4 linked regions of the Arabidopsis thaliana genome follow. The protein of the gene in region 2 purifies or fractionates together with the protein of the main gene of each other region. This does not show direct contact. Each region holds a gene or a part of one and is shown on either strand. Other genes may lie near its edges. The genes, in order: CDPK6, HDA15, CPK20 and MKK5.

Region 1 (5,230 bases), on a different chromosome or scaffold from region 2:
CCGCAGGAGTAGCAATAAGGAATCTAGGGGTTTAAGATTTCCGACGTATCGGTCGAGAGAAGGGAGCGACATACCATGATTCAAGCCGCCGGCGAGTAAGATGCGGCGTAGCTTGGATCTTCAACGATCAGAGATTACACGCCGGAGACTAGTTCTTTGGAATCGGAATCGAATCTAGAGAAAAACGATCAACGATCATTTGTTGTTTTTATTATCGAGAGAAGAAAAATTTAACAAATTCGATCCAAAGCTCGCGGTCCTTCTTCTTCTTCCAGTTTTTTTTTTATATATATCTCAGTTGATTTTTTATTCGTTCTTTTAATTTTTTTTACTCATTTTAGTTGTCCGATTTCTCTGTGAGAAAATGTCACCAAGATTATTAGATTTCGTCATTTTTCATGTATAAAAATCGGATTTGAAACTTCTAATCCCTCCTACTGCACCTTGCTTATTTTTTTATTGCCTTGATTAGATATAATCTCAAATTTGTTTGTAAGGGTTAAGATTATCATTCTATAATTTTTTAAGTGAATTTCAGCTTCAAATCATGCAAGAATCAACCTGTAATTATTATATATTGAATCTCTCATAAGTCATTAACCAAACCTGCAAATGGCTTTCTGATCTCAAAGTATTTTTTATGTTGTGTTGATAAAAAGAGATTGCAGGAAACAAAATAATTGATTGTAACAGAAACACAAAGTTTGAGTAAAGTGATAACCAAAAACAAACAAACAACATCAAAAGATCTCTCACATTCTGCGTCGGTTTGGCACCAATTCTGGATTTCCCTTCTTCATCATCGCTACAAATTCTTCGTAGTTGATTTTTCCGTCCTAAAGATTCGAATACAAAGATGAGAAGAGAGTGTTAAACTTACACGTATACTTACAGATGTATGAATTGGACGAAACCAGAGATTTACGTATACTTACACGATCGGTGTCTACTTCAGCAATGATCTCTTTGATGGATTTATCATCACCCATGTTGTATTTCTTCATGGCTAGCTCTAGCTCTTCCATTGTTATGTAGCTAATATCACAAATCAAGATCAAAGAGTGAGACTTTATTTATAGCTTGTTAAAGAAAGAAATAGAGAGCTAAAGAACAATGTTTTACCCGCTGTTGTCATTGTCAAAGAACTGGAATGCGGTGTACAAGTGATCCTCACGTTCGATTCTGTTCATATGCATTGTGGCTGATATAAACTCCAAGTAATCAATTGATCCATCTCCATCCATATCAGCCTAAAAGAAACAAAGCATCATAAGCATTATTGCTTTGACATCAAAGTAGTGGATTGTGATAGACTTACTGCTTCCATTAACTGCCTTATTTCAGCTTCAGAGATCTTTGAACCAAGTTTTGGGAGACCGGTTCTCAATTCCTCCAAGGTGACTATTCCATTGTTATCAGTGTCTAGAGATTTGAACATCTCTTTAAGACCAATGATTTCTTCTTCAGAAAGGTTCTCAGCGATAACCTGAAATTGCAAAACGAAAACCAAAGATTGGCTTTAGAACAAGAAGACTACATAAACTACAATAGTGATGGTAAGACTGTTTCAATCAGTGTTTTAATTACCTTCAGGGCCATTTTTTTTAGTTTGTTCATCGCCCGGAATTGTTTCATCCTGGATAACACCGCATTGTCAAGCGGTTTGTCTGATGCCTCCCCATCTTCTCTAATCCACGGATGATCTGCGTATGTATCAAAACGTTATTAAAATTGGATAAAAGAAGGTGTTTTCATCAATTTATTCATCAAAACATGTTATAAAGGGGTCTTACTTAGCACTTCCGCAGCTGTAAGCCGATCTTTAGGGTCATATTTTAACATTTTCCTCACAAGATCTTTGGCACCATCTGATAGTGCTGGCCATGGATCAGCTGAAAAATCAAGTTGCCCTTGAAGAATGGCATCAAAGATCCCCGTTTCATTTTCTGCACAACAGAAAGAACGTGACTATACATTCCAGTCCAACATTTAAACAGTGAAACCAAATTCTCTTCTCAAATAAGATCAAGACAATACCTCCCCAGAAAGGCGGAACACCACTGAGAAGGATGTATAGAATCACACCAGCACTCCAGATATCAGCCTCTGGTCCATAGTTCCGTTTTAGAACTTCTGGGGCAACATAGTATGCACTTCCAACAAGATCCTTAAACTTATCACCTGCATTAATGGATCAACTTCATTAGAGGGATAAATTGTCTATAGAAATCAAATAGGGAAGGATAGAGGCTGTTCAAACCTGGCTTGAAGAAGACAGAGAGACCAAAGTCTGTAGCTTTCAATGGTGAGTTCTCATCTTTACTAAGAAAGAGAAAGTTTTCGGGCTTCAAGTCTCGGTGCATTACACCCATAGAATGACAACTATGCACAACCATCACCATCTGCCTACACAAATCCGCAGCAGCTCTCTCTGAGTAAAGACCTTTAGAAATGATCCTATCGAACAATTCCCCTCCTTCACACAACTCCATTATCAGATTCACAGAGTGTCTGTCCTCGTAGGCTCCCTTCAAGTCCACTATGTTCCTATAATCAACTCACCAATTTGAAACTCAGGTAAATATAAATATGCAAAAAGGGAAACTTTTTCAAGAGTTTAACATAGGACCACCAAACTTTTCATCCACATATGATGCAAACCATTCATTAATATAGAAAACGAATCCTATGTCTAAATATTCACCAATATTCCAACAAAAGGCGTTTCAGATTCGATTTCGGAAAATGTCAAAGAAGCATTTTCCAGTGAGATACAAAAAAAGAGATTTACCGGTGACCGCTGAGATGGTGCATAATCTGGACTTCACGGCGAACATCTTCAATGTCGTCTTTGTGAACAAGGCGGCGCGTAGGGATTGACTTGCAAGCGACCTGTTGTTTCGTCTCTTTGTGAGTTACGAGGTACGTGACACCAAACTGGCCACGACCAAGCTCACGACCAAACTCATAGGTTCTCCGTACTTCCTCCATCGGCCGACCTAAGATCCGACCATTCTGCTGAGTAGATGTGGTGGAACGAGATCCGCCTGTTCCGGAGCCTGACGATCCGACGGTTCCGGAACCGGATGATCCGCGGCGTTCTCCGGCAGGTTTAACATGGTGGACTACGTTGCCGGAGGAAGAGGAGGAGGAGGACGGTGGCGGATCGGAGGATTTGGACTTGCTGTGTCTGTGGCCCATTGTCAAAAGCTTTCTCTCAGTCAATAAAGTCAATCGAGAGAGAAAGATTGTATCTCCGATTCTTATGGCTTTTTAATGTCTGAGATCAGACACGATGACCACGTGGCGTGTTTTTATTGGTACGTAGTTGAACCGCGTATAAACAAAAGTATTTGTCCCATTGGAAGATAAATTAGTGGATGTGGAAATCTTCTGCATATTAGTTGTTTCCACTTCTCCAATCAATCACACGGCTAATTCAATGTTAATCTTTTGCAATTTGAGATTGAAAAAGGAAAAGTTATTAACATCCTTTAGGTTACAAAATCAATGATATTGCGTATGTCAACTATAAAAGCCAAAAGTAAAGCCTCTTGTTTGACCAGAAGGTCATGATCATTGTATACATACAGCCAAACTACCTCCTGGAAGAAAAGACATGGATCCCAAACAACAACAATAGCTTCTTTTACAAGAACCAGTAGTAACTAGTCACTAATCTAAAAGAGTTAAGTTTCAGCTTTTCTGGCAATGGCTCCTTGATCATTTCAATCCTGAAGGAGACCCACTTTGTAGCAAGACCATGTCCTCTGTTTCACTTACAGTGTGTCTCAAAAGTCTACTTCAATTCTTCATATATAGGTTCCTCACACTACAGCTTCATCCTCATTCGTTGACAGAGAGAGAGTCTTTATTGAAAACTTCTTCCAAGTACAACTCCACTAAATATAATAGCACCAAACCACTTGTTCGACACAAATCTGTACAGATATAAAAACACTATTAGGTTTTCCAAGGCAAATCACATAATTGGATTGTGAAAGAGTACAAAAGATAAACCCAAATTTTCATACTTTCTACTGCAGTCAGCACCAGATGATAAGTCAGCTGTCCCTATTTGCCATCCTAACTGTCCTGATGCAGCGGCCAGTGATGCGTAATATTGCCACCCTTAATCATTAGAGCGAGAAACAAAAAGAATCAAAAGACAGTAAATGGAATTAGGAATCACAAATGAGTCCTTGTAAAGTTTATTGAGTACCGAGATCTGCACTGAATCCAGAAAGTGCAAGAAAACCTATGGATGCTGTGCCAAATCCAGTTAACCAAAGCTTTGTATTATCACCGAATCTAAGGGCTGTTGACTTAACACCAACTTTTACATCATCTTCTTTGTCCTGGAGACACAATATATTAGACATTAGTCCATGGAAAAAAAATGATTTAACCTAGAATATCTCAAAATTACTTGCATAAAAACTGAACTTGAGCTGAAATTTTGGGTTCGTAGCTTGTGGCATATACTATTTCATTTTCAATGGGCCACAAAGGTAACTTTCTTTTCTCACTTCTGTTGCAAACGGGAAGACTTTTATGGGGCTAACTCTTCACTTAAAGTATAGAAATCAGATGGAAAAGGTGGGAGATCAGGGTAATTTTCTTCTTTATGATTGACAAAAGTCGAACATCGAAATGGATGCATTTGCATGAGACATGAAACAAAAGCTGAAAAAGAAATCTGTGGTGGTGAAGCTAGAAAAAGAAAACAAAGCAAGCAATATGCACACATTGAGATTAACTACTTTGCTACTGGTCATAATCAAATAGATTTTGAAGCTAAAAAATAAAAAGTGAATATACCTGATGTGCATAAATAGTATCATAAACAAGGGTCCAGCAGACTCCGGAGAGATAGAGAGGGAGTACAATAGATGGTGCTATGCTTCCTTTAACTGCAGTCCATCCTAACAATGCTCCCCAGTTTATGGTCAAACCTAAAAAGGCTTGAGGCTGCAATTATAAAAACGAATCAATCATAAGAAAATCAGAAAATATATAATGTCTAACTTTGAGAAGCCAGAATAGATTTAAATTACCCAAAATGTAAACCTCTTCATAAGTGGGTAGGAAAAGACAAGTAACAAAGATGAAGCCCCTAAAACACGGCTGCAGAATATACATACTGAAATGAGCTCAAGTAGAAAAGAATTTGATCACAAAACTAAAGACAAGACCTGAGAACATATCTTCAGAATTTGGGCCAACTACA
Region 2 (6,488 bases):
GGTTTTTTAGATTCAAATTCTCTTAGAAAACAAACATATGATTAAATAAAATGTGGTTGATTTACAAAAATTCAGCTAGTTCATAATCGAAATTAACCGATAGCCCCTCTATCTACCTAAAATCAGAAAGAATTAATCTGAATCGAAGCGATTATTCGAAAGTTCTTATTTAATAGAGCTGGACTAATATTCTTAGCCGAACAGTGCCAAAATTTTGGTAATTAGATTTGGTTCAAAATACCGACAAAACTGTTTTGTTTGGTTTTGGAAGATTGAACATATCCGTATTTAGAAGCTCTTTTAGTTTTTCATAAATTTCTAAATATTCTTAAATTCTTCTACTTTTTTCTTTTTTGTAAATCAAATTTCCTAGCCGTATCAAACTGTGTCAAATATACTGAAATTGATTGAAATATACCAAAACCAAAAAGAATATACCGGAATTATTGGAAAATGAGGATTTTGGACACCGAGAAATGAACAAGAAATTTGTTTTTGGTTTGGTTCGACATCAATAATTTTAAGATAAACCAAACCGAACTATAAATTTGGTTAAAGTAGGAATTCGTTTATCCAAACCGATTGCCTAGCTTAAGAGGTCTGATGAGGATGGTTGGTAAGCAGGTTAAAAGGGTTCTTTCTATAAAACCCTACCAAATGTAAGTGATAAAGATTGTTCAGAGCTCCCTAATTGCAATAAATTCCCCCAGATCAGTTAGGGTTACAAGTAAGTGTAGACAATTCCTACGACGGATTAGGAAGAATGCTTTCTAAAATCACTTTGATCTTGAAATCATACGAGCCGAGAGAAAGTTGTACAAAAGCTTCTTTCGTCCCCATTTCCACCATGTCGGAACCCGAACAACCTTCCTTTTCATCTGATTTTCTGTAAAACCAGTGAGATTTTATTAGGAGAAAGAAGGATGAAGAATGAAATAGTTTTTTTTTTGGGAAGCATCACTCACTTTTGTTTTCGATCAGACGTGCTTCCAACTCTGAGAGTAATTTGGAGTAGCTGATAGCAAGTGATGGCCAGAACTCCAGTTGGATATTCAGTACATCAAGAACAGTTTGCAGGCCGGCTACTGAAGGCGTGGTGGCGATGGGCAACTCGTTCTCCGGATTTTCACCCAGAAGCACCTTTATAGATTAAGCGGGATCATGAATCTCCATAACTATATGCAGATTTTAAAGGATATCAAGTTTGAAATAGAGACTAACCTTGATCACTGCTGTTGCAGAAGCAGATATGGAGCGAAGATTGTAGCTGCAAATGAAAACAGGAGATTATTCAAAAGCTGCTCCTTACAAACCAAGAGGCTACTCCAAAAAACTGCAAAACACATACCCGCCCTCGAGAATAACTAGCATTTTCCCACCACACAGATCACCCAACATCTGTGTCATTCGAGAATAGCCAGCCGGAGTCACCTGAAAAAAGGAGTAGAACAGAACATCTATCCTCTGTTGATATCCACAAAACAATACACTGATTCCAGAAGTGGTAAATTACAGCTCGAATATGAAGCTTACATCACAGCATCCTAGTGGGTCTCCTCTAGCCGCATCAAATCCCGCAGATATGATGACAAAATCTGGAGAAAATGCAGAAGCTGCAAGAGAAGGTTCCAGTTAAAATTAGACTGAGTGCACATTCAAAAGTGAGCTAAATGTATTTGGTCCACTTCCTGAGCATATTAGTCATCAATTAAGCCAAAACGTTTATCAAATGGGGAAAAGTAGAACGACTCTGTACCTATGGGGAGAACCACATGTTGAAACGCAAAGATATAGTCTTTATCCCCAACTCCACCGCAACTCCATGGAACATTTACACAATAACCTTCCCCACCATTAGAACCAACCTGCACCCATAATTAACATTAGCAAACTATTGTTCTGCCGCCTAGAGAAAATTCAAATTTTGGAAACAAGGCAGAAATTAGAAAATAATCCCAAAATTTAAGACATAAATCATAATGCAAACCAAACACACAAATAAGGTATATGCATATATATACCAACAACTAAATCTACTCATGAATGCTGGATGAGACAATGTAAAACAGAAAAGCATAGGTACCTCATCAGCAGCTCCAGTACCGGGATAGAAGTTTCCTCCCTCATGTCTGTGCAAGGATATGTACAATACCTATGCAATGACTCCCAGTAATAAGTTCAAACAAGGTCAACTCACAAAAATAATTTACTGCATCCAACACTCCAAAATTGATGTGCAGACATGCATAGATTTGGGCAGCTTACAGATTTGTTTTGTTCGAATATCTCTTGGGTTCCGTTGCCATGATGGACATCCTGCAACGGTAGATATAACATTGATATGAGCCAAACCACACAATGCAGAGTACAACGAATTAAAAAAGTTTGAAGATCTACAAAATCACCCAGTTTAGAGTTATCAGTAACATTACCCAGTCCACAATCAGCACCTTCTTTGCCCCTGCTGCTTGTGCTACTAATGCAGCAACGGCTGCATTATTGTGAAGGCAAAACCCCATAGCATGCCTGACGCCAGCATGATGACCGGGAGGTCTAACCTGATACAATCAGAGATTTTTTTTTTTCAAACTAATATGGTGTAATTTCAATTTAAAGCAATTGTGTAGTTGCATCTTTAAATTTAAAAATTTTGGTGAATTAGACATACCAAAGCAAAACCATTTTTTACACGGCCAGTGAAAATATCTGTAGCTAGATCAGCGCACAAACCTGCTGCAAGTCTAGCAGCACGTGCTGAATACTCATTAGCATATGTGTCAGAGGTGAAGTAGCTGCCAGACAATGGTAAAAGAACGGGATCAAGAGCAAAAAGAGATAAATGAGGAGCAGCGAAGGTAAAGGAAATTTCAATTCAAGTTTGAACAGTCAGATTAACAAGCAAGGATATGCACGGTGAACGCAAAAAAAAAAGTAACAAATGGTTTAAAATTCAAACCTATAGAGAAGCTGGCTTGTAGTATCAACAGCATCAACATGCTCTGAAGTGTGGACCTCAAAATTGACATATACAAACCAGTTATGAAATTGCTTGTAAAAGTACTGCAATGAACATAATATTAGAATTGTCTCTAAGACAGTTATGTAGCAGCTCACCATCTGGAGTTCTTGTTTCGTGATTTCCCTTGCATTGATAGGCAAGCATCTTCCAGGAAAAACACCTGCAAAAAAATTCAAACGTGGTGAGTACCAAAATTACTCCCAACAGTATGATACTGTAAAATGAAACACATGATATGATATATGGGATCAAGTCTCAGAGAAGGTAGACAAGGACGCTAGAAGCTTCTTAATTGAAGAAGTTATGTTCTGATCTTTTCCTTTTAGAATTAGAATTTTATTATTTTCCTTTTTAGTTTTAACTTACCTCGGCTGCAAGAGATCTATATAATGATCTCCAAATCTTAATAATAATCAGCTTCCAAACATTAGTCTTCTTCTCAAGAGAGGCTAGGTTTAAAGGAAGTAAACGCAACATACCAGCTGTGGCAAGACTAGCAGCTATAGCTCGAAGACGATCAGGTCTCTCTGGATGTGGTTGTGCCTTCACTTCAAACTTTTTAAGCATGCCATCAGCACATATTAAATAGAAAAACTTGCACGAAGAAAAGCTTTGGAGATGATAATGTAGAGATGTCAACAGATACTAGAGGTTTCTCAGGAAAACATAACACATAACAGTAACAAGATCATACTTCTGAGTGTAGCAACATTCTCTCGTCGAACCCAACAGCTGTCGAGCTGGTTGCAGATGAGCTTCCTAATATCAAGTTAAAAGAAAAGTGAACATGCTTACAGTTACTTAAATAGCATGGAACTGAGACTAACAATATTTATAAAGACATTTTCAGAGGAAGCAAGGGAAGTAATTCCTACCTCCATATTTCTCCTCGACTTCAATGAGACCAGTGTCTTTAAAAAAGGGAGACGCTAAATATCCATGCCTCAAAATGCCAGATTCCTTGTGCTCACCGCATATCTACGTCAAGGAATCAACTTTACTAATACATAACCAATGTCCAATGCGCATTGCTCAGACGTACGTTTGTCACTTTGAAATCATAAAAAGTAGTAGCCAAGCAAGAAAAAGTAAATAAAAAACGTACACAACAGTGGACCATATCACCAGGGTTCGACATAGTGCAATTGACACAACACCATTTTACAAACTCCATAGGCGCCTGCACAGGTTCCCAATCACAATCATCATCCTCATCATCGTCATCATTGAGTAATGCATCAGCACCGTAAATATCTTCAAACGTCATTTCTCTAGAAACCCTAGCTCTTTTCTGCATAAGACACAACAATGACCAATATCACCAAAAGCAGAACCAACCAAATCTCTGACAATACATTAAAAGGAAGCCATGGTTTTTAGCTTACCGCTGAAACTCCAGGAGCTACATTTATATCTCCATTGCTACACTCTTCTCCCGAACAAGGAACAGCGATATCTCCACCGTTCACATGTCTTCTCTTTGAACCCTCACAAGACCTCTCGATAGTTTCTACAACCATTGTTACCTCAGTAGTCACTCAAAACTACTAACCAGCTGAAAATAAATCTCCGCTGTGCCAAAAGAGAAACAAAGAAAAACCCAATTTGAGAAATTTTAAAAATCAAAAAGTTTCATATACGAAGAGCTAAAATCAAAATCGAAGAAAATGTAAAGAACTCCACACACAGCTACAACAAATAACTTTACGAAGAACCCAACTTTTCTTCGAGTATTATCGAAATCGATCCTCGATCCAGAACTCAGGAATTGTTTTTTTTTCTCTATGGAAACTGAATAAAAATATCAACGACGGTCTCAAAATATCATACCTGAAGAAAACTTCCGGCGAAACGATGAACAGAGAAGGCTGCGTCCGTCGCGTTTAAAGGAGCGCGACGCTACGATAGCACAACAGAGCAGAAATGAGAGAAACGACGACGGCGACAACGAAGATGACGACGTTCAGACTTGAAAGAGTAAAAGATTATTTGGGCTGAAGATGAAGACCCAATAACACTATAAGCCCATTACCAAATTTGAGTCAAACTATTTATTTTTATTTCCTTTTGCTTGGAATTTTTCATTAATGTTCAAGTATTGAAAGAGCAAAGTACGACTGAATCTTACTTCACAAAGCCAATTTAGGTTTGTTGTCTTCTCGAAATGGATTACAAAAGTTACCATTTTTTAAAGGGAATGAGACTTTAGTTGTTATGTCATTGAATTTTTGTTTGGTAAATAACCTAACTGATAACTTCATAATATTTATAGTGAAAAATGTTTGAATCATCAGGTAATTAAACGTCACACTACAGATTGTAGAATGACTAATGGTTAAACTAACTGATAATGACCAGCTAACATAATCAAAATACGCCCAAGCGCATTAACACATGTGAGACTGATATTTGTTTCCCTTACCTTTTTCTTTTACCTTAACCTAATTCTAACTGTAAGTACTGAATCCAATTTCTTTGTTATATAATACATGTTTGTGTGCATGCATCTCCATATAGTACTCAAAAGCATCGTCTTTGTCTTTTCTCTAAGAATTTATTATTCATACATTAATATTAATTCTACAAACATGGGACTATGGGAGATAGTATTCCGTTATATATATAGTTCACAAGAAGAATATTGAGTGATATATTTCCATATATAACAACGACGACGACAACAAGAACACACCCACATAAAATGAGAGATGAACACCGAAATGTTAAAGATGTAAATATGTTGAGCTCTCTCTCCTTTTTATACCTCTATCATCATCTATACCTATACATGATAACATAAATATGTATGAAAAAATGTGTGTTGACTATCACTTGTGTGAACAAAGAAGCATAGTAATACATTTTCCAATAATGTAGAACCTTCCTTTCTTCTTTTTCAGAAACTCTCCAACTCCTTTTGGTGAAGAAGGCTTGTTCTTCTTCTTCTCCCAATTCTTCACTGCTTCCTCCTTTGTGTACTTCTCCCTCATTGTTTAAAGTGTGTTTATAAAACAAACTTTTTTGTTTTTCCTTATTATCAGGGATTCAGGGTGATTGTGTGATGATTGTGTGATGTTTAAATGGAAGTGAAGATTCATCATATTATATATATTGGAGTGAGAGAGAAAGAGATAAGGAGAAAGTATTCCCTACCATTGATTCGGGACCCTTCAACGAAACAACCCAAAAATAAAGGCCACTTTGTGAAGTGTGACCGACTAGCTTCCCATTATGGTTGAAAATATTTGATGTATTGTTTTCTTGTCTCCTTTCAGTTCAAAGATTCATCATCGGTAGAGATTGATTTATTCACTTTGATTATTGGAATATTATGTTAGAACATACGGTATTGCAGACCGTCCATATCTCATCTTAATTTCTTTGAATTTAAATTGAACATGCAAACTAACGTTATGGTTAACTGCTAAATAAATACATAAAATGCAAATTCCAAGGAGCTTTCGGGTTT
Region 3 (5,362 bases), on a different chromosome or scaffold from region 2:
TAATTTAGTGCTTACCCCACAACCATATCGAAGGAAAACGCCGACGGGAGGTAGAAGAATCGCCAGAATAATTTCCAAGAAAGTTTCTGATCCCATTTTTGATGTTTTGGAGAAGAAGAGAAACAGAAACAGAAACAAGAAAGAGAGGTTTTGTGGACAGAAGGGAAGTGGTGTGAAAGTTTGGTCAAGAAGTAAAAGAAGTGGTGTTTGACACGTGTACTGCTTGCAGTGTATCACGTGACACGTGGAGACGCTTTCGTAGCGATGAACACGTCAAACAAACTGCTTTACTTCAAAACTGCTTCCACTAATTCCACGGAAATCTCACAGATATTTTCAATTTCTCCTTTTTTGAGAGGCCAAGAAGATAACATTTTAATGTTTATGATTCGAATCTGTTTACTCCATCCCCTCTTTTCAAAGAATTTTTAGTTTTATTGTGAAAAGATTAATAATTTATCACTCACTAGATTTACATATTAAAATCGATATTGTGTAATAATTTACATAAACATTTTCAATAATTTCTAGAGTTTTACATTGACCTACTAAAAGTACATATAAGAAAAATGAAATTACAATCTTTGGTTATCTTCCAAAGTGAAACCTATACATTTTTTCTCCTAGTTGAGTAAAGGGAGAGTTAAAGGACATGACTCATGAGAAACTTAAATACAAAAAAAATGTGGAACAGAGAGGACAAAAACCTGCTCAAGAATGCTAATGCTAAGCAGTAAGCAGCCCATATACATATATCCACAAAGATTAAATTATACTTAAAAAGAGAAAAGAAAAAATAAGTGTTGGAAAAAATGGGGTCATTGAGGTTTTGTTTCTTCAACTCACCTTTAAACCCATTTTGCCAAAACCAGTGTCTTGCATCATATCCACAAACTCGCTGTAGTCTATTCTTCCATCCTGACAAAAACAATCATATAACATCATTATAAAGAACAATGTTCTTGCAAGTAACTATAGGTAAAGCATATCAATTGCATATTAATGAGTTGTTACGTTGTCTTTATCGACTTCGCGTAAAATGTCGTCTAAATGAACATCCGCTAAGCCAAATTGCTTGCAAGCTTGTTGGAGCTCGTCTCTGGTTATATAACCACTTCCATCTTGGTCAAAGTAAGAGAATGCTGTGAACAAATGGTCTTCTTTCTCTATTTTGTTCAAATGCACCATTGCTGCTATAAACTCTCCATAGTCTATTGTCCCACTGTTATCTATATCCGCCTGATCAAATGTTCATATTTTTCCAAATTATTATCTCACACATCTCACATCATATAGTAAACAAAAGGTGATTTCAGTATAAAAATGGACTTACTGCTTGCATTAATCCTAGTATTTCTGAATCTTTAAGGTCAGCACCAACTCTGTCCAAACCTTTCTTGAGTTCTTCGAGAGTGATGTGTCCACTATTATCTGTATCTATCATCTTGAACATTTCCTTCAATCCTGCTATTTCTTCCTCTGACAAGCTTTCTGCTATTACCTGAATCAAATACATCACGTATAACTCTCTATCTTGCACATAATTTGGTATAGATGATAGAAACCAATTCAAAATGTTTACCTTGATAGCTATTTTCTTGAGCTTGTTCATGGCTGAAAATTGTTGCAAACGACTTAGGACAGCAGAATCAAGAGGTTTATCAAGAGCAACACCATCTACTCTGGCCCATGGATGACCTAAAATATAAATTCAACATTTTACAAATCTTTATAGTACTTACTCTTATCAAAAAGATATAACTTATTTGGAAACAAGAACACTAACAGAGAACTTCATGAGTAGTCATTCGCTTCTTAGGGTCTCTGATTAGCATCCGACGGACCAAATCCTTGGCACTTTCTGATACACTAGGCCATGGTTCTGATATAAAATCAAGGTCACCTTTCAAAACCTGCTCAAAGATCCCCTGTTCCGTTTCTGACATATAAGCACAATCCAATCAGTCTCTTTATCACTTCAACATACCTGAAACAATGAATCAACAACTGTCTCTTACCATCCCAAAACGGAGGGACGCCACTTAGTAAAATGTAAATAATAACTCCGGCACTCCAAACATCACATTCATGACTATAATGTTTCCTTAAAACTTCTGGTGCCACATAATAAGGACTACCAACGACATCAGTGAATGTTTCTCCTGTAATCACCAACATATATAGTCAAGATCATATTGTATATGGGATCTGTTAAAAGTAGCATTGGGGACATATACTATACCTGGTTTAAAGAAAACAGAGAGGCCAAAATCAATAGTCTTGAGAGCAGCTTCTTCATCTCCACTAACAAATAAAAAATTCTCAGGCTTAAGATCACGGTGCATTACACCTAAAGAATGACAAGCTTCTATAACACCAACAATGATCCTAGCAAGCTCAGCAGCTTTTTTCTCAGTATAATGCCCTCTCTGTATAATCCTATCAAATAACTCTCCACCTGCACAAATCTCCATCACAACATGAACAGCTACTGCATCTTCATACGCACCAACGATCTGAATCACGTTTGGATGACCAGACAAATGATGCATTATCTGAATCTCTCTTCTCACATCTTCAACATCCTCAGGTGTTGTTAATTTCCTCTTAGCTATCGTTTTACAAGCGAACTCTTTACCTGTCTTCTTATCCACGCAAAGAAACGTTGTTCCAAATTGTCCTTGACCTAATTTTCTCCCAACACTGTATATATCTTTGAGATTCTCTGTTTTTCTCCCAAGAACTGAGTCTATTTGTAGACCTGCGCTTGCCATACGTTTCATGTGCGCTTCTTTCTTCTGCGGTTTCGAATTCGGATCTTCTTTGTTCTCTGTGATAGGTTTTGGTGGTGGTTCTTCGTTGGCCATTTTCACCGGAGGTGGTGGTGTGCTCGGTGTTGGCAACGTGGATGGTGCTGGATCCACGGTGGAGGAAACGTGACCGTTACTGTCGTCGCCATTAACGCTTTTATCGTTCTTTTTTCGACTGCTCTCGTCCTTGCTGCTCTTAATGCTATCGTCTGGTTTCTGATTCCGCCACACGGCAGCACTAACGGATTGAAGGAATCCATTAGGGTTCAGATTCGGACCCACGCATGTGTTTCCCATTCAAAAAATTTAACCTAAAATCACAAAACCTAATTTTGCTTCTTTTTTTTTCTTCTCTCTGTTTGAGATTATCTATTACTTCTCCGACAATGAAAACACGAACCACTCATTAGCGTCATCAACGTGAATGATGAATCCATATAGAATATTGCCGTGTCTTCAAAATCGACACAGCTCGGTGAAAACCTGAGATAATGAATTGACCACCTAAGTCGCTCGCAAGCAACCTTGTTCTGCACGTTTTCCGGATACAAAATGGTCGAGAAACGTCTTGGAATTGTAAAATGTGGCTAAATGATTTGATTCGGAGAAGATCTGATGAGCTGATGATCAGAGGAGGGGAAGAAGGAACGAGAGAGAACAAGGAAAGGACTATGCCATTGCCGTCCATTTTTACGAGAAAATATGGAAAGTTTTTTTACAGAGCCCAATTTTAGACTAGGACTCACTTTTATCAAAAACAATTTCTTTTTGTCTTTTAATTTTTAACAATTAATTAATTTTTTTGAAAAAATATATAACGTTGAGTGATTATATTGTAGGGAATTAACTGCGAAGGATTTAGTTAATAAATATTTTGATTGAAGAAAATATACAATAAGAAGAAATTTTGTTTATCTAAAGTAAAATTCTGAAACTTGTGATGTATATAGACATGAACTGATGAACGTGTGTAATCTATTGACTTGTCTTTTAAACAATTAATAAGGAACAACATCCAATAACATCTTAAACAACACAAAAAAGTATTTAAACACAACTCGATTTATGTCTCACCAAAGAAAAAAAATAAAATAAACCTCTCCTAATTATGATTCTCTCTCGAATCTGTAATGTCTCGGGCACGGCAGAAACAAATAAAAGTAATATATCTTTTTTTTTGTCATCACCTTTTGTTTAGATGAAGTTAATAATTGAACTTGAAGAGATACACCATTAATAACCGATCATATGCTTCGTCTGTTCATTCCAAAACATCTTCGACTGCTTCACCATCTCAGACCGTTCATTCATCATCCTCTCCTTCCAATATTCTTTGCTTCTACAAAAAAATATATTATGCTTTCATCATATGACATTAATAATTCTTGCAATATAAATACAGTTTGAACAATATATACCACCCCAAGAATATATTCAGATGTTTATGAAAGGCTCACTCATAACGACTTCAAAACTTAAAAAAAAAATTAAGAACAAAAATTCGATCGCAACTTCATTTTCTAGTTACTTAACGAATGAAAACACCATCTTGCTATATGAATGATAATAATCATCAGTTCAAATTTTATGGACACATCTATACTGATTTGGTGCAATCTAAAATTTGAGACTTGTCTTACCGTGTCTTTAAAAGAAGATGCAGCTCGATCATGTGAACTGCTTCCGCGTAAACTCCAGCCTGATACCGCAAGGAATAAATCAAGATTGACCTCATTATAGATATTGGAAACAAAAGTTGAGAGAAGAACACGTTTAATGTTGCAAGAATCTAAACAAACCTCTCTGCAGATGGGACATTTTGAATGTCGGGGCGCTGCTTTAATGCCTTGGAAAATCAATACAGAAGCAGCCGAGCATGCACACGAGTTACAAAATATGTGACCGCACTTTAAAGCATAGGGATTGAATACCGTTTCCTGCCCAAATTTATCCACAACAAATTACTATTTTCACCTCCAGATATGCAAACTACATTTTATTTGTGAAAAAATGCAAAGAGATTTTTTATTACGAGGCAGATTGCACAAGTTAGATCATACTCCAGCTCTATTGAGTTAGGCAGCATGAGTTTTAGCACTGGTTGATCTTCGTTGAGATTTTCACAAGCGACACGGCCAAACGAATTCTTGAAGTTTCCAACATTATCTAGCCCAGAGTTGAGATAAAAGGCTCCAAGTTCTATGAGCCATGGTGAGTGCAAGAGCTCTATGCGCTCCGCTCGCATTTTCAACTTGAAATTCTTCCCATTCTCTGAGCTATGCACCTGAAAGCATTTTTAAGCAGTTTACTTTCTCACAACAAATGAAGTCACATCTTCTTATTTTAAAATGAATTATTATCTTTGCCATAATCTCTAACCTTGTCATATTTCTTGAGGATTTTACGGATAGCAATTGCATTCATGGTGATGTATTGAATCAAGATTTGGCCCTCTTGGACTAAAGCTTGTTTTTCGTCAGTGAAGCATCTGCGTAGGCGAATCATGTATCTCTGCATCCCAGTGGCTACATGAAGATGGAGAAGATGCCTCA
Region 4 (5,288 bases), 1.1 Mb from region 2:
CCGAGATGAAAGTGGTCGATACCGAAACCGGAATCTCCTTGCCGCGCAACAAATCTGGCGAGATCTGCGTCCGAGGTCATCAGCTCATGAAAGGTAAAAAGGGTCAAACGATCAAGCTATGTCCCTTCTTTTTTTTCCTTTGGGAGAATAAACATTGATAGGGAAAACATGGTGCAATGTTGTTAGGTTATTTGAATGATCCGGAAGCTACTGCACGAACCATAGACAAAGACGGGTGGTTACATACAGGAGATATTGGGTTTGTGGATGATGATGATGAGATCTTCATTGTTGATCGGTTGAAGGAACTGATCAAATTCAAAGGCTACCAAGTGGCTCCAGCTGAGCTTGAAGCATTGCTTATTTCTCATCCTTCTATCGATGATGCCGCAGTTGTTGCGTGAGTTCAAAACAAATCTGAAACTTCCAAACTGAGACACTAAAATGGTTGTTGTCTCTAATGATATTTGAATTTTCAGAATGAAGGATGAAGTAGCTGATGAGGTTCCAGTAGCATTTGTAGCAAGATCTCAAGGGTCTCAGTTAACTGAAGATGATGTCAAGAGTTACGTAAACAAACAGGTACGAATTCGCTTTCGGTTTTTCAATGCGAAACACACACAAGATGGAAAACTGTCTATGTCTTAAATCAATGGTGTGATGGTTTATATAGGTGGTTCACTACAAGCGGATTAAGATGGTGTTTTTCATAGAAGTTATACCAAAAGCAGTTTCGGGCAAGATTCTGAGGAAGGATCTGCGAGCTAAATTGGAAACCATGTGCTCTAAATAGACACAAGAGAGTTTCAAATGTATGTGTAAATTCGAACATTATAGTCTCTAAGAAGTAAGGAGTAAGAAGCAAGTATTTGGTATTTGATTTGGTTTTCACGAGATCAATCATGTAAAGTCAACAAATCTAGGAAACCTAAAGCTAAGCTACCCTCAGAAACATAAATTCATTTCCTATAATCATCATTTCACTATTTTCTTAAGAAGAATTATAAATTTAGAGAATTAAGGAACAGAAACATACCCACAAAAGCGACAATGAGAAGTGATTACGCTGGGTAGACTTATGTACTGGGACACACACTCAAAGTTATCCTCCTCTGCAAGCTGAATGCTTCAAGTATTCAGGTGAATCAATCAGCACAAACTTCAGCAAACCTGCAGAGAAAGACGTGGCCCAGCCGCCCAGCGGAAAGGTCTAATGTGGTTAGAAGTCAAGACCAATAGGACACTTGAGAGCTAGATTCCTAGCCATAAGGTAGACTTTTTTGAGTAGATGCTGAAGAACCTAGAATCTGACCTGGACAGTTGAGAGTTACATTCCTAATCACACTAAAACATCAAGGCAATTTGACGGATACTGAACACAAAACCATTGGGAGAGAGAGAGAGAGAGAGAGAGAGAGAACGAGAAGCAGAAACAAGGTGAATAGCTGATGTTTACATGCATGATGCATGCTCAAAGATGGAACCAAATGAAAGCTTTCTGAATTTGACCAATTGCAAGAGCATCACATGATTTCGTTCAAACAAAAGTTCCTAAACAAGCTTTCAACTTTTACCGCAATAATTAGACCATAACTGGCAAAGAAAAAATAACGCAGTAGGCACTAGGGTAGCCTTTGTAATGTTCACAAGACGGAAACTAGAAAACCATAAAGAGAATTAAAGGAAGAAGCTTTATTAATGAGAATTATCCAATGAAAGATCCTCCATTTACTTCCTTATATAAACAATAATATAAGCAAATCCAGCTAAAATCACTCTTAAACCATAAGAATTCTTCTTGTCTATTTTTTTGTTTCCATTTCTAGCAAAACATTCTTCATTACCCATAAGACAAATCAAGCTTAGCAGCATAAGATAAAGACTCAATAAACCCTAACCACAAACTGAGTTTCTTCCTGACGACTCATACCCCAATCACAAACCACATTGTTCTTCTACTCTTCTCATTATCTTTGCTTGGGGTATGCAAAACTTATGGAAAAATGTCAGGAAAAACTACGAAAAATTGAAAAACAAGAAAGACGAAAATGGTAGAAACACTAAGAGGCAGAAGGAAGAGGACGAGGCGGCGGCAACATTTGACGGAGATTAGGACCACCGGTAGCTTTAAGTATGAAAGGATGCTGCAAAAGCTGTTGAGCTGACCATCTCTTAGGAGGATCACTCTGTAAACAACAAGAAACAAAGTGACGAAACTCCTGAGACGCCGTAGCCGGAGCTTCAGGTGGCTGAGACATACAAATAGCACACATAAGACTAGCCCAATCACCTTGTCTACTCACAGCAAAAGGAAACCTCCCCAAGTAAAACTCCAAGATACTAACACCTAAACTCCAAACATCTCCAGCATAACCATCGTAACGACCATGATTCAAATCAGTATTAATCCTCTCAGGACTCATATAAGCAATAGTACCAACAGATGAATTACAAGGATCCATTGTTTGTGCCAAGATCCTACTCACACCAAAATCAGCAATTTTCACATTTTTAGCTGAGTTTATAAGAAGATTCGAAGGTTTGATATCACGATGAACGATATGACGACGATGAAGATAAGCTAATCCACTAAGAATCTGACGAGAGAGATCAGCTAATTCCTGTTCTTGCCATATATGAGCTCCTTCAAGAGATCCTTGATCCATAAACTCAAGCAAAACCTGGATCTCACCGTTATGATCAAACATATCGTGACATTTCACAACGTTTGGATGATCAACACTTCTTAAGATCTCGATCTCTCTACAGATCTGACGTCTCACGGTATCTTCGTGGTTTCCGTAAATCACTTTGAGAGCGAAAGGACGTGACGTCGGAGTGTGGATTACTTTGTAAACCGTTCCTCCGGCTCCGCTTCCGATTCGGTTCACTCGTTCTAGCTCGGATAAGCTTTTAGCGGCGGAGATGTTGGTTGAGATCGCGGAGGAAGACGCCGGAGCGGATGAAGAGGAAGAAGGAGGTGGGAGAGGGAGAGGTACGGCGAGAGCGACGTCGCGGTGTGGGAGTGGTAAGCTTAGGTCAGGACGTTTGCGTAAACGGTTCTTCATAGGTGAAGCTACTCCAGAAGGAGATTGAATCGGTTTCATGGCTTTTAGAAGAAGAGGGAATCAAAAGTTTTTTTTTTTTTTCACAAGGTTGATTCTTTATCTTCCAGGTTTGTATTTATCATCATGATTGACTTGACTCTAGGGTTTGTTTGATTCGTCGTTTTTCAAAGAGATCAAATCAAGAGGAGAATGAAGCTTCATCGAAGAGATTTGTGAAAATGATTGTAAGAAACAAGAAAAAAAAAAAAAGTTAAAATGGTAAGACGAAGGTACGCGTTGATGGAAAGAGCGTGGAATACACTCGCACTTGTGTGGCTCTGTGTTGTTACACGTTAACCATGTTTTTTGTTTGGTCGGGTCTGAATTGGATTATAATATCATTAAGAGTGTTTAAGATCGTGGATTTAGATACTATAAATTTGGTGTTAGGTATTTAATATTTTTAGAAAGTAAGAAAATACAGATTAAAGTTTCTTTCCAATAAAAACAATTGAAAAAAGAAAAACTTAAAGTAATTATAATTCTAAAAAAATTAAAAACTAATTTTCTTTTTAAAGTTTTTAACAGAAAAAGAAAGAAATAAAATTAAAGTGGTACAGTGTTCACGTGCGATGCATGTGACTTAAAAAATAAGTTTGCCTTCTTTGCCGTCAATTCTTCCGCAGAAGTTTTTTCGAACAATCAATCTCTGACTCTCTGAGTAATTAGGTTTTTTTTTTATCTCATGGCCGGCGCCGGAATCCACCCATACCACCAGCAGTGGCCGCCGGCAGGTGCGCCGCCTCCTCCAGCCGCAGTATCATCAGCTGCTCCACCACATCCGCCGCCCATTCATCACCATCCTCCTCCTCCTCCTGTTTTAGTTGACAACCATAATCGTCCTCCTTATGACGAGGTTCAACTCTTTCTCTTTCTCTCTATACATATCGGTGATTCTTGTGCTGTGTTGTCGAGATGGGCTTGCTTGATTTTTGTTTACGTTGAGGTTTTAATTTGCCTGCTTTTTGATATACAATGTTAGCTTGATTTTGCTACGGAATCGATAAATTGTCCAAAGTTATGACCTTTTTGATAAGAATGATTTTTAAGTTTGTTACTAAAATCTCACTTATGACCTGTTGCATAAGTGAGAAAGGTTCTCTTATCTTGTCATGTAGTTGGAGTTTTCTGATTTTGGGAAAACGTGATCTCTTACACAAGTTTGAATCTGTTGTTCAGCTGCGGACAATCTTCATCGCAGGGCTTCCCGATGATGTAAAAGAGAGAGAGCTTTTGAATCTCTTGAGATGGTTGCCTGGTTACGAGGCTTCTCAGGTGAACTTCAAGGGAGAAAAGCCCATGGGGTTTGCTCTTTTCTCCACAGCTCAGTTTGCAATGGCAGCCAAAGATACCCTTCAGGTCTGTCTGCTTCTGATCATTGTTGACTCAGATCCTTTTTTGTCTTCACATTATGACATATGTTGTTCTTGGCATGCAGCATATGGTGTTTGATGCTGAGTCAAAGTCTGTGATACATACAGAGATGGCCAAGAAGAATCTTTTTGTTAAAAGAGGTTAGCTCTACCTTTATGACATAAAATGGCTGTATTTTATCTATCTTAAGCATTAGTCATGTTACTGAAGCATGTTTGATACAGTTTTGTGCATTTATACGGGGTCTCACTACACTCTCCCCTTTATCTAGTTTCTTACTTCCTTTGTTAATATCACAAACCATATATAACCTTTGAACTCAATCTTTATTCTGTAGGTATTGTTGGGGATTCAAATGCTTATGATCAAAGTAAGCGCCTACGAACTGGTGGTGACTGCACACACTCTGTGTATAGTCCATCTCCTTTCCATCCTCCACCTCCTCCTGTGTGGGGACCTCCTCATGGGTTAGGCATTTGCTTCTCCTTCATATTTCATATGCTGTGTAGAAATTGGACGATGTGTATTTGGTACACCGTTTTATGTTAAGTTGCTTATTTGACAAGAAGATAAATTGGTTCAGATATATGGCACCTGCACCTCCACCATATGATCCCTATGCAGGTTATCATGCTCCCCCTGTACCAATGCCTACGCCCCCACCTATAGCAGCTCCTAGTTCTTATGTGCCTGTCCAGGTGAAGTTGCACTGTTTTCATCATTTTATTTATCATATGGTGGTTGTGCAATTATATACCCGGAATCCATATTGTACTTGCCTCTCCTTGCCTAAAAATTACAATCTCG

What was found.
Region 1: the proteins of HDA15 (region 2) and CDPK6 purify together in Arabidopsis thaliana (affinity purification with mass spectrometry, with the first as the bait; one study listed by BioGRID). This does not show direct contact.
Region 3: the proteins of HDA15 (region 2) and CPK20 purify together in Arabidopsis thaliana (affinity purification with mass spectrometry, with the first as the bait; one study listed by BioGRID). This does not show direct contact.
Region 4: the proteins of HDA15 (region 2) and MKK5 purify together in Arabidopsis thaliana (affinity purification with mass spectrometry, with the first as the bait; one study listed by BioGRID). This does not show direct contact.

What each region holds. Positions count from the first base shown.
Region 1 is NC_003075.7:12,324,215-12,329,444, forward strand, and holds CDPK6 (calcium-dependent protein kinase 6), read right to left. Parts: upstream 3,438-5,230; 5' UTR 3,202-3,437; coding exon 2,792-3,201; intron 2,548-2,791; coding exon 2,261-2,547; intron 2,182-2,260; coding exon 2,038-2,181; intron 1,947-2,037; coding exon 1,794-1,946; intron 1,704-1,793; coding exon 1,588-1,703; intron 1,487-1,587; coding exon 1,319-1,486; intron 1,251-1,318; coding exon 1,123-1,250; intron 1,036-1,122; coding exon 936-1,035; intron 837-935; coding exon 753-836; 3' UTR 544-752; downstream 1-543. Other genes in the region: TRH1 (Potassium transporter family protein), read right to left, coding at 75-77; PPT1 (polyprenyltransferase 1), read right to left, coding at 3,872-3,941, 4,035-4,131, 4,223-4,358, 4,648-4,713, 4,822-4,971, 5,058-5,127. UniProt on the Arabidopsis thaliana protein: May play a role in signal transduction pathways that involve calcium as a second messenger. Functions in abscisic acid (ABA) regulation of guard cell S-type anion- and Ca(2+)-permeable channels and stomatal closure.
Region 2 is NC_003074.8:6,359,656-6,366,143, reverse strand, and holds HDA15 (histone deacetylase 15), read right to left. Parts: upstream 4,969-6,488; 5' UTR 4,850-4,968; intron 4,592-4,849; 5' UTR 4,540-4,591; coding exon 4,405-4,539; intron 4,311-4,404; coding exon 4,125-4,310; intron 3,998-4,124; coding exon 3,895-3,997; intron 3,779-3,894; coding exon 3,714-3,778; intron 3,575-3,713; coding exon 3,499-3,574; intron 3,180-3,498; coding exon 3,115-3,179; intron 3,013-3,114; coding exon 2,957-3,012; intron 2,793-2,956; coding exon 2,669-2,792; intron 2,559-2,668; coding exon 2,433-2,558; intron 2,317-2,432; coding exon 2,266-2,316; intron 2,153-2,265; coding exon 2,084-2,152; intron 1,866-2,083; coding exon 1,757-1,865; intron 1,614-1,756; coding exon 1,534-1,613; intron 1,432-1,533; coding exon 1,349-1,431; coding exon of another isoform or gene 1,321-1,348; exon of another isoform or gene 1,268-1,320; coding exon 1,222-1,267; exon of another isoform or gene 1,141-1,221; coding exon 962-1,140; coding exon of another isoform or gene 958-961; exon of another isoform or gene 887-957; coding exon 745-886; 3' UTR 529-744; and 1 more. Other genes in the region: RTFL20 (ROTUNDIFOLIA like 20), read right to left, coding at 5,848-6,009. UniProt on the Arabidopsis thaliana protein: Responsible for the deacetylation of lysine residues on the N-terminal part of the core histones (H2A, H2B, H3 and H4).
Region 3 is NC_003071.7:16,244,377-16,249,738, forward strand, and holds CPK20 (calcium-dependent protein kinase 20), read right to left. Parts: upstream 3,480-5,362; 5' UTR 3,108-3,479; coding exon 2,243-3,107; intron 2,163-2,242; coding exon 2,019-2,162; intron 1,940-2,018; coding exon 1,787-1,939; intron 1,699-1,786; coding exon 1,583-1,698; intron 1,502-1,582; coding exon 1,334-1,501; intron 1,240-1,333; coding exon 1,015-1,239; intron 919-1,014; coding exon 838-918; 3' UTR 530-837; downstream 1-529. Other genes in the region: AT2G38905 (Low temperature and salt responsive protein family), read right to left, coding at 16-96; AT2G38920 (SPX (SYG1/Pho81/XPR1) domain-containing protein / zinc finger (C3HC4-type RING finger) protein-like protein), read right to left, coding at 4,044-4,149, 4,451-4,509, 4,610-4,747, 4,843-5,094, 5,190-5,362.
Region 4 is NC_003074.8:7,443,736-7,449,023, reverse strand, and holds MKK5 (MAP kinase kinase 5), read right to left. Parts: upstream 3,421-5,288; 5' UTR 3,108-3,420; coding exon 2,061-3,107; 3' UTR 1,037-2,060; intron 985-1,036; downstream 1-984. Other genes in the region: 4CL5 (4-coumarate:CoA ligase 5), read left to right, coding at 1-93, 187-400, 480-582, 674-793; AT3G21215 (RNA-binding (RRM/RBD/RNP motifs) family protein), read left to right, coding at 3,793-3,963, 4,287-4,466, 4,546-4,621, 4,819-4,948, 5,065-5,179. UniProt on the Arabidopsis thaliana protein: Mitogen-activated protein kinase kinase (MAPKK) which regulates abscisic acid (ABA) responses in a MAPKKK20-MKK5-MPK6 cascade involved in root growth (e.g. root cell division and elongation) and stomatal response, probably via MAPK6 activation by protein phosphorylation.